2 linked regions of the Rattus norvegicus genome follow. The protein of the gene in region 2 purifies or fractionates together with the protein of the main gene of each other region. This does not show direct contact. Links are inferred from orthologs where the notes say so. Each region holds a gene or a part of one and is shown on either strand. Other genes may lie near its edges.

Evidence for each region. The genes of interacting proteins can lie anywhere in the genome.
Region 1: the proteins of Slamf6 (region 2) and Sh2d1a purify together in Homo sapiens (co-immunoprecipitation; 5 studies listed by BioGRID and IntAct, with this or other methods). This does not show direct contact. The link is inferred for Rattus norvegicus from reciprocal best matches to the Homo sapiens genes SLAMF6 and SH2D1A.

The regions. Positions count from the first base shown.
Region 1 is NC_086039.1:126,237,576-126,242,724, forward strand, and holds the start of Sh2d1a (SH2 domain-containing protein 1A), read left to right. Parts: upstream 1-1,624; 5' UTR 1,625-1,840; coding exon 1,841-1,977; intron 1,978-5,149.
Region 2 is NC_086031.1:86,914,949-86,920,334, reverse strand, and holds the start of Slamf6 (SLAM family member 6), read right to left. Parts: upstream 3,380-5,386; coding exon 3,295-3,379; intron 1-3,294. UniProt on the Homo sapiens protein: Self-ligand receptor of the signaling lymphocytic activation molecule (SLAM) family.

The DNA.
Region 1 (5,149 bases), on a different chromosome or scaffold from region 2:
CAGTATTTTTCATCAACACTGCACTGGTGGGCTGGCACACCTGTCAGTTTGCTTGTGAGGTGACAATAAGGTACTGGATGTGAGAGCTGTACTATTACCTTATAATTTAACTGTTCTCTTTTGATGCGATGTTCGTTGTGCTGAAGCCCACTGTACCTGGCTGCTTTGACAAGTGTGCTATTTTAGCAATGCAGAATGAAACAGAAAGAAAAGAATGCATGGGATGCTGGCTTCGTCAGATCCAGGTTTCTCTGTTCCTATGTTTGTAGATGATTTGTACAGAGTTGTTCAGAGACCAAAAAGAAAATGGTTAGGTTTTGTTTTAAACCTATGTGACACTCAATGTTCTAGCAGTTACACTATAGGTGGGGTGCTGTCCATATGACTCAATAAAAGAGGATCCCCTTTTTCTTTTCATATTTAAAATGCCTCATTGTAATTGATTTCAAAAGTATTAGCTTTGTTTCCAATAGAGTCCTGGTTAGGTGAACCTCTGATGTTTTTAACATGGATGTAGGTAGGCATTTATGTATGAGAATAGAAGTTACAACACAGTTATCAACCCCTGTGCAGTGACGCAAAGTGGATTTTATATTCACAATGATTCTGGCCTAGCCCCATACACCAAAGGGTGCATAGAAGGTCACATACAACAAACTGGACAGAAAACTCCCACAAGCCAGCAGCCCTATAGGAAGAACTACAGGCAGCTGAGTAAAACCGGGTGTAGTGGTCACCGTAGGGAAGGGCATACTAATTGCTCATCCAGTACCAGATGGCTAGCCCTGAAAACGTACATACAAATAGCATTAGACAGATACAACTGTATCTGTGTAACGTGCTCAGGAATTATATGAACATGCATATATGCATGTGATAACGATGCTGAAGGAGAACAGGGTTCGTTCGATGGTGAAAAGGGTGAAAAGGGAAAGAAGAAATGCTTGGATTTTAATAACGATGATGATGATGATGATAACGCGCCAATAGAAGGATTTGCTCTTTTTAAGCCCTTCAGTTATCTGCAATATTTTGTAATACCATGACAATTTTTTTGTGTGTGTGACTAAACTGATACTTTTGGATCTTGGAAAAAAAACATTAAGGTAAAAAATCTTTGCTTGGGCCTAAGTGTATTCAAGGATTTGGCATACGGCTTAGAGGTAGAAAACTTCATCTGGGAGGTCCCGGACTCTGTCATCATTGAAGAAAAGAGAGTTTTTTCAGGAACATCTAGTCCCAAAGTGCACAGTTCAATAGTACTTGGGAATGCTGTGGAAGCTTCAGAGCCAGACTCTGGTTTTGTAGTTGGGCTGTTTTTATGCTTTTGTTTTGTCAGGCCGTTTCTGCCCCTCATGATGACAAGTACCATTTACCTCTATCAGCCATTCTTTTGTTCACCAGTTCAGCCAAGTCATTGCCGAGGGCTTCACAGGTTGCAGGAACCACACAAGAAAAGCCCTATCAAGCTTCTCATCTTTGTGCAAGCTCTGTCTGCATTGCTGGCACAGCTCAAATGCTGCAAGTGTTCACTTTTCCAGTGTGCCCCTCCCCCACCACGAACTCTGTGTTGGAGACTAGGGTGATCAAACCCATGACAAGTTTGAACCTGTTAAACTGCTGAGCTGGCCTTAATTGAAGTGTGAGAAGAGGTTTTAAGGCAGGTAGACAACATCCTGTTGTTAGGGTGCTCATTTCTCTCTCTCTTTTTTTTCATACTGGCTGCCCTGGGAGTCAGGTGGCTGATTGTGCCCAGCAAGCCACTGCAGCAGCAACAGCAGCAGCGCAAAGTCTTCCTCTTACCATCGTCCTTCTGAGCCCATCAAAGAGTTTGCTAGGCATGGATGCGGTGACTGTGTACCACGGCAAAATCAGCAGGGAGATGGGGGAGAAGCTCTTACTCGCTACGGGGCTGGATGGAAGCTATCTGCTGCGAGACAGCGAGAGTGTCCCTGGCGTGTACTGCCTGTGTGTTTTGTGAGTACATCTTGTGGTCATGGCAGGCTTATAGCATGTGTATCCTGCCCTTTCAGGGGAGGTCCGGGGGGGAGTGGCAGGGGAGGGGGTTACAACTCTTGGCAAAGGAACAGAGGGAATACAGGCAGCAGGAACTGAGTACTCTTCCAGTTCTTACTGGCCCAGGACTCTGCCCAGGGGTGTGGCAGGCAGTACTTGGATGTATGTCCCTCCCTGGGGATTTATCTACTGCATTTCCCCAGTTCGGTTGTGGCAGCTTCACTGAATAGCCTTCAGAATGGGAAAACATGGCCTAGAATTTACCTTTACTTTGAGAAAGGCCCATATTCTAGACTTCGGCTCTGGAGCTCTGGGATGTTGGACTATTTTGTCTTCTGGGCCACGAATTAAGGCAAAGGAAAAGCTTTCTCTATCAATCTCTACAAGTGTGATTGAAAATGGTACCCCAAAAGAAAAGCATCTAACAAATGCTCGGAGAAGTGGCCAACCAGGAAATGGAATTCATTATTTTCGGAATGCCCCTCAGGGAAGGCAGAGGCAGACAGATGTGTGTGAGTTACAGGTAGCTACCCTGGTTAACACAGCCGGTTCCATGCCCACCAGGGCTACACAGTGTACGACCCTAATGAACAACAACAAAGAACACTAAAGCAGCACAGCTCTGGAGAGGAAGTGTGTGAAAGAGCAGAGGTGCCTTTCTCGTGATGCTGTTACCTTGCTTATAAGAGGCGGAATGAGTTTAAAAACGTGGTGTGTCCCGTAAAAGATAGGACTGACAATAAATAGTTTTAAAGAGCACAGAAAGAAAACATCATTCTTCTGACCCCACTTTGACCTTTGCCTAGACTGTTCTCAGCCTCTTGCCCCATTTTGAACCAGGTGCAGCTGCATCCTGGCTCCCAACCTCCCCGAGCGAACCCTACCGTAGTTGGACTCTAAAGCTTGTTCTCTCCGAAAATCAGTCTCTTAGCCCTTGATTTTAAATGGGTTTCATATTCCAAGGGATGATGAAGATGATGCCTCCATGTATTAGAAAAGAAAAAGTAAATGCTGGGCTTTGATACTCAACAGATATGTCTGGTTTATTATTGGTCTCTTTTTGGACAAATTATTTCAGTACTTCTTGAGGAAGTCTCCAGAAGGACCCAGTTTAGGCACTACTGTAAGCAGGGTATTCACACACACACACACACACACACACACACACACACACACACACACACACAGCCTCATTCTAGTACAGTACAGTCTACCTAAAAGCAAAAACAAAACAGTGCTTGGTAGTGAGTTCTGTACATGATGATACACTGCAAAAATTTGAAGTAGTTTCTGGGCCAGAAAATAAAGATTAAATTGAGGCTGGTGTGAAAGGATTGTCATTGTATATTGATTTTTTAAAAATGGCCAAGCCTTACTTTTGGCAGTTTGCAGATCATGCCAAATACATTCATCATAAAGGCTTCAAGGTAAATATATGGAAAAATAATTTTTCAGTGTTGGGGAGAGAATCCAAGAATCCAAGATTTTACATGAGCCTCCAAAATGCTTTTTTTTTTTTTTTTACTAAGCTAGACACCCAGCCCTGGGCTTGGACCTTCATGTTCCTAAGTGGATCCCTAAGAAGAGCTGGGAAAGCCAATGACACTCCTTAGGGTATTTTTTTCTTGTGAAAAGATGAAGGATGGTGAGTGAAACAGGTTGCTTTGGACACACTGATAATAGAGGTAGCATGCTCCTTAACCAAAAGGAAAAGATAAAAGTTCAAATGCAGCCTATGTAGGGGAGAGGGCTGGAGACAGTGTACCTCAGATTTGTGCTTTTCATAGCACCCGATCACCTCTGTTAGGTAACTAAGCCTGCTTCCTTCTCAGGATTTTACACCTGTATTCGACATTACATCTCCTGATCATTAACGAACCTAAGTGGCCTCTCTGGGCTGCTACCCGATTACCTTTATTCAAGGAACTTTAAACTTACTAACATTAGCTTGTTTACTTATATGTGGGGTCTACCACAAACTACCTTCATGAAGGAGCAAACATGGTCTCCAGTACCAGGAGCATATCCTGGTACATAATAGGCACTCAGCACACAATTTGGAATTAGATGAACTGTTCAGCCATATTGTACTCTTCATTAGCAAGAGCATCGGGCTAAGAGGCCAGGGTGGGGGCTCTAGGAAGTCACTCAAGTTCTCTGGGGCTTCACCTTACATCTGCGTAAAATAGAAACCGGTTGTTATAAAACATGGTTGTAAGTGAAATCTTGAAGAAAAGAAACCTTGGTGTTTGGGCACATAGGCCGGAACCATGTAAGGAAATTCTCAGCCTTCTGGTTTTCACTGACAGGGGATGCTGTATAAATGTAAGGTGTTTGCTTGTTTCTTTTGTTTTTTGTTTTTGGTTTTTTTTTTTTTTTTTTTGCTTGCTGTTGACCAATTTCATTTTGAAAACCTTTTCCTATAGACGTGGTGAATTCTCTACCTTGAGTCTCTAGCCCTGTTTATGGGTTTTCACAGTTATGGCCAGAAAACTGTGGAGGAAAGAGACAAGAAAAATAAGAGGAATGTTTTCCTCGCCTTTGATAAGTGCTTCAGGTTTTGTTTGTTTTTAGTTGAGTGTCCCCTTGGAGATACACAAACATTTTGTTCTCTCTCACTGGCACTACATGGTATGTGCAACATGTTATTTGGAACATAACGTACTTCCTAACTCAAAATACTGAATTGTAGGATGAAGAGTAGAAAGAAAATAAATCATATATGCATGAAAAAACCTACAACAATGGTGGCTTGCTCAGTGGCATCTTATTCCATGTTTTGTTTATTCTCATTAACCAAGAAGGTGTTCTTAAACTTCAACTCACTCTATTTTTATTGTATGGTTCAAACCATGCTTAAAATTGTCCTTTCAAACAATATGTGCCTCTTTCCTAGAGTGAATCTCAGACATGACCTTTTTGTCCTGTTAGTTTTTCAAAAACAAAATGTTTTAAACAATGTAAAAGTCTCCCATTTCTAGGATTGCTACCCTTCATTTAAAACAAGAAGCGTTTCTTCCAATTGTTTGCTCTAAATAAAAATGAGAATTAAGAGTTCATCAAAATAGTCTCTTCCAATGTTTGCTCTAAATAAAAATGAGAATTAAGAGTTCATCAAAATAGCCTTTTGTAT
Region 2 (5,386 bases):
AGCCCCTGTGCCTTTTCTTTATCTAAACACGCAGCCATGGTTCTCCCCTGGGCCTCAGAGCACCTGTATGTTTCCTTCAGACTCACCCGGAGAATTTAGTTCCCATTTTTCTCTGGCACCAGTTTCAGTGTGACTACACTTCAGAACCTGGCTACTCAAGGTGTGGCCCACGGATTGATAGATAGGTAAGAGCATTATCACCCCGGGGCTCCTTAGAAATGCAGAGCCAGAGCATCCCCTCTCTGAGTTGTATTCTAATAAAATCCTCTGAGCTAAATCCCCAACCCCCTGTAATTTGATCTTATTTACCTTAGTTATTTTCTTTTGACCCCTTCGTGAGTTAATCCAGTCCTTCAGTCCTTCCTTCCTTCCTTCCTTCCTTCCTTCCTTCCTCCCTCCCTTTTTCCTTTTTCTGATAAGCCAATGAGTTTCTCAGGGTTGCTCATAGGAACATGGGGGAAATGGATATGTACAGAGGCAAGGACATCTTCCAAGTGGCCACACTATCTAAGAAAAGGTCTCTCCCTTTCCAGTCAACCATTAATCACTTCTAAGTCCTGAGGGAGGGGTAGACCTGATTGGTCTTGACATGAAGGACTGGTCCTTCCTTCATGGCGGGATGTTGTTAGGCCTAATCGTGTGCAGGTAATGGAAGAGGACCTGCTGTGCCCTGAAGAGTAGAACTGTCATGTCACATGGCGGGTTAGCTTTGCCTCCAAGGAAATGAGACAAAGGGAATGAAGGGGGCTGATGTGATGGCAAAGGGCCATCTAGATTCAGATCCCAGCAGCCAAGTGAACCGACCTATTGCTCTAATCTCAGCACTGGGGAGGGAGGAGGTTCCGAGGGGCTTACTGGCCAGTCAGCCCAGCCAAAGGAACAAGCTTCAAGTTCACTGAGAGTCCTGTCTCAAAAGACTAAAGGCAGAGGAGCAGTCATGAAAGATACACAATGGATGTCCACCTCTCACCGCCACACATCATTTGTAAACACACAGAACAAATTAGCACTGTACATGCACATGAACGTTTTGCAACTTGGTTTATCTTTGAGCTGAGACTCTGAAATGGAATCAGGATGTGTCTCACCTACATGAAAACGTGTAGTGAGTGAGTGAGTCATCTTCTTCTCAGAGAGCATCTCTTTGGCCTACATACTTGCTGGGGTGGTCTCATCTTTCCTCAATCCTTCCCAACTCTCCCCTTCTACACTTCCGCCTCCCTCCCATGCTTCTTTATTAGAATCCTATTTCATTTCTCACATCATTTCACCTATTCCAGAAAGTTCTTCCTCACCACCCAGTCCAGAGAGGTTCTCCTATTTTTGGTGTCCCCTGCTTAGTTGTACCCTGGAACCAGACCCGCCACTTTCCACCCTGGTAACCACAGTTCCGCTCCACTGAGGGGTTTTTGGCCACCTGCATCTATCTCAGGAAGACGAAGTCAAAACCATGTTCTTTTCTTCATACCCCTCCCCCACAGCTGTGTGGCAGTAAACTGTTACTTAGGCTCTGTCGGCCTCTTCTATGCACATCTGCAGATGGTGGCTGAGTCTGATATTTCACAGCGGTGTTAGAAGAAGAACCCTCAGAGATGCGGAGGAGGAACACACAGAAATTATCCAGTTTTATAATCCAGTCCTTCAGTTCCTTCCTTCCTTCCTTTCTTTTTTTTTTCTTTCTCTGATAAGCCAATGAGTTTCTTAGGGTTGCTCATAGGAGCATGGGGGAAAGGGCTATGTACAGAGGCAAGGACATCTTACAAGTGGCCACACTACCTAGGAAAATGTCTTTCCCTCCCCAGCCAACCATTAATCACTTCTAAGTCCTGAGGGAGGGGTGGGTCTGACTGGTCTTGACATAGAGGTAAAAAAGTGAGGTTAAAACCTCAAGTCGCTGGCTGGAATTGGGCTGAGAAGTGGCAACATGGATGGATGGGAGTTAAATAATTCTCATCTTTTTCTGCATCTTCTATGCATTTCCCAAAGTTCTGTCCTCAATCCCTCATCCTCCTAGTTTGAGGTAGTCTCGGTTCTCAGCCTAATGCCTCAGTTTTCACCTGCTTCCAGGAAACTTCCTCTTGGCCAGTGTATTGATAACGTAAAACAAAATAGATCCAAAGAGGAAATGACCTTCCTCCCGTGGCTGCTCCTCCACCCCAACTCTATCCCTCTCTTTGACTGTCCAACCTACGATGTGACATTATGTTCTCCCTCCCCGCCCCTCTCTGCTTATTTTTTTCAAAATTATTTGTCCTAAGCTGGTGCATTTTACTTGTTTATAGTTTATCCACAAGAACAGAAATTGCGCTGACTTAGTTCCTGAAACTCCTACCGTGTCAGGCATTCAGTAGCCATCTAATGAATGGTTATCAAATGCCTTAATGAACCTTGCTTCCTTTTTATGTCTGTTGTCGATTTGTCTACTTAGTTCTGTCTGTGCAGTATGTGTTCACTTCTCTGTGCATGCTCCCATGTGTGTGTTACCGACAGTTTCTGTCAAGTGATTCGTTTTTATTTTTTATTTTTTTCCTGATGACTAATAGAATTTTGGCAAGTTATTTAAAATGTCTTAGTCAAGTTCCTTGTAGCTATTAATAGAATACATTCACAAATAGGTTATGAGACATCTAAACGTAATGCATGTTTAATAACTAGTCCATTTTCTGGAATAAAATAAATGCTAGTCGCCTTTTTTTTCCCAATGATTTCCCTCGGGGCTAGGTCTGTGTTAGCAGCCTTTGCTTGATCTCCTGTCCTAGAACACTACATTTCAGTCCAGATGCACACCCTCTGAGTTCTCAAACACAGTGTGAACCTTCCTGCTATCCATGTAACAGGTAGGAGGGAGGAGACGCAGGCTCATTCAATCCCTTCCTAATTGCAGTGTGAAAACATTGCGGGGGTTTTCAATATTTGTGTGAAGAGTGAAACTCAGAAAAGATCATGAATCCCCCTGAAGTTACACAGCATCACAGTAGTTAAATTGTAGATTTTTTTTTTTACCCCTTAAACTTAGTTTTGTACCATAACATGCTGGTCACGAACAGTCCTGACTTACAAAGACTCATTTTCCATACCTCAGAAAACATTTCCCTTCCTCTCAGCTCCAGCTGAAATGTTTGCCCTAAATCAGTCCCCAAGCAGTCTGATGGAAGGAAGTAGTTTGCTAGGACCAATGTGAACTTCCTAAGTCTCTGAACAGAGAACCTGGCAGTCAGCCTGATCAAGATGAGCAAGGCGGCCCAAAGAAGGAACTCACTCAGCGACTTCATCCATTTCCACACACATTTTTACCTGTGCCGAGGCAGAAGACAAGTGGAAACAGCCAGACCATCCTCTGACGAGCCGAGTCGTGTGCTGGAGCCCTTGAGACAGCCATTCTCTCATAAGCTTGTCGCTGAGACTTCCCGTTCCCCTAGTTACAAGAGAGTTCTTCCTCTATGTTGGCAAACCCTTGGTTATCAGTGTTTAACACACTTTGCTTACAAGAGTATCTTGCATAAGCTGAGACTCTTAGCAGTAGGGAACATGGAGCCTGAATGGGTCATCTCCTGTAAATAGGCAAGACTTCTGATGGAGGGACTGGGACACCAACCCAGCCACAAAACCTTCTACTTATGACTTGTCTTGCCTACAAGGGGGTAAAGGTGCTGGGGGTAAAGGTGGTACGGAAACTGTGGGAGTGGCCAATCAATGACTGGTCCGGTTTAAGGGGAGCCCATCCCTGACGCCGTGGAAAGCCATGAAGCAGAGCTGAATAGCCCAGAGACACAACGGCAAAAAACGAACCAACAACAACAACGAACCAACGACATCAAACAAAACAAAACAACCCCCCCCCCCCCCGAACAAGTCTGCTATACTGGTAGGCAGGAGCTTCAGCCAGTCCCTGATGGAAATAGATGCAGAGACCCACAGCCAAACATCAGGCGGGAGCTCGGGGAATCTTGCAGAAGAGGTGGAGGAAGGATTGTAGGAGCCAGAGGGGTCAAGGACACAGACCTCAAGAAAACCTACAGAATCAATTAACCTGGTCTCATAGGGCGCTCACAGAGACCGAAGTGGCAATCGGAAACCCTGCATGGTTCTAACCCAGGCGCTCTGCATGTAATATTAAGGCTGTGGAGCTTTCTCTTCTAGCAGGACTCCACGAGGAGGGGGCCGTCTCTGACTCTTGCCTGCTTTTGGGACTCTTCCTCCTACTGGGTTGCCTGGTCTGTATGAGGAGAGGTGCCTAGCTTTATTGCAACTTGATATGCCTTATTTGGTTGCCCTTGAGAAGTGGTGGGAGGACTGGGGTGGGGGTGGGGGGAGGAAAGGAGTTGGGGGAAGGGGAAACACTGGGACGGGAGGAGGGAGGGAAACTGGGGTCAGGGATGTGATATAGGAGAGAAGAATGAATTGAAAAATAAAGGAAATACCTTGAATCATTTTAGCTTAAAACATTTTAGGGAGACTTACATTGTGACCTGTCTATGCACTTGAGAAAACATTCACTTTGTCTGTGCCATCTTCTGTGGTGTCTGTCAGAACCTACTGGTTTATAATGTTGCTCGGGGGTTTTTCCCCCCCACTTCCTGTGGTTCTGACCTCAGAAGATGCATGTGCTGGAGGCTTGGTCTCCAGCGTGTTGTGCAGATTGGCGGCCCCTTTGAGAAGTGGGTCCTAGTGGGAAACTATTAGATCATTGATGGTGCTCTGAGAGTGGGCTGCCAGGTATGCAAATGCCCTTGAACCACCCCTACGCCTACAGATAACCCCTCATCCATGCACCTGTAAGTAACTCCAGTGAACCAATCTGTTTCTTTGTTCTGTTCTCTGTCCTATCTGAGGTGATTAGAGAGACCGGTTCAAATCTCCCCAGGGAGGAAAAAAAAGGTCAAAATTGGTGCCTGAATTGGGAGAAGCTGAAAGTTGATTCCGAGAGGAGGGGGTCATATGACCCCCTGATATGAGTGAGACACAGGCAAGAGTGAATGATCCAACTGAAGGTGGAGCGTTGATGTGGCAATCCTCAGACGGTTACTCTGTTGCGGTGATATGGGACCTTGTGCCTTCTTGCTGGAGCGGCAGTCATGTGTCTGATACGAATAAGACGTGCCGCTGAAGCTGCACGTCTCTGAGGGGAAACCCAGGGCGGCTGTCTTCTTCCTCTATGGTATATGGCTGCATGTCCCTTTTATGAATGTGACCTGTCACTCCAATACAGGAATACCCTCACAGAGGCTGATGGACTAGAGAATCTGCTGTAATTTCTGAAGGTGGCAATATGGCATGTGATTAAGGGCAGGTCATGGAAATACATAGTTTCTTGGTCTCCTCCGGATGCCATGAGAGATGTAACTGAGGCCGAAATTTCTGCCCAGAAGGAATTGCCAGCAGGAGG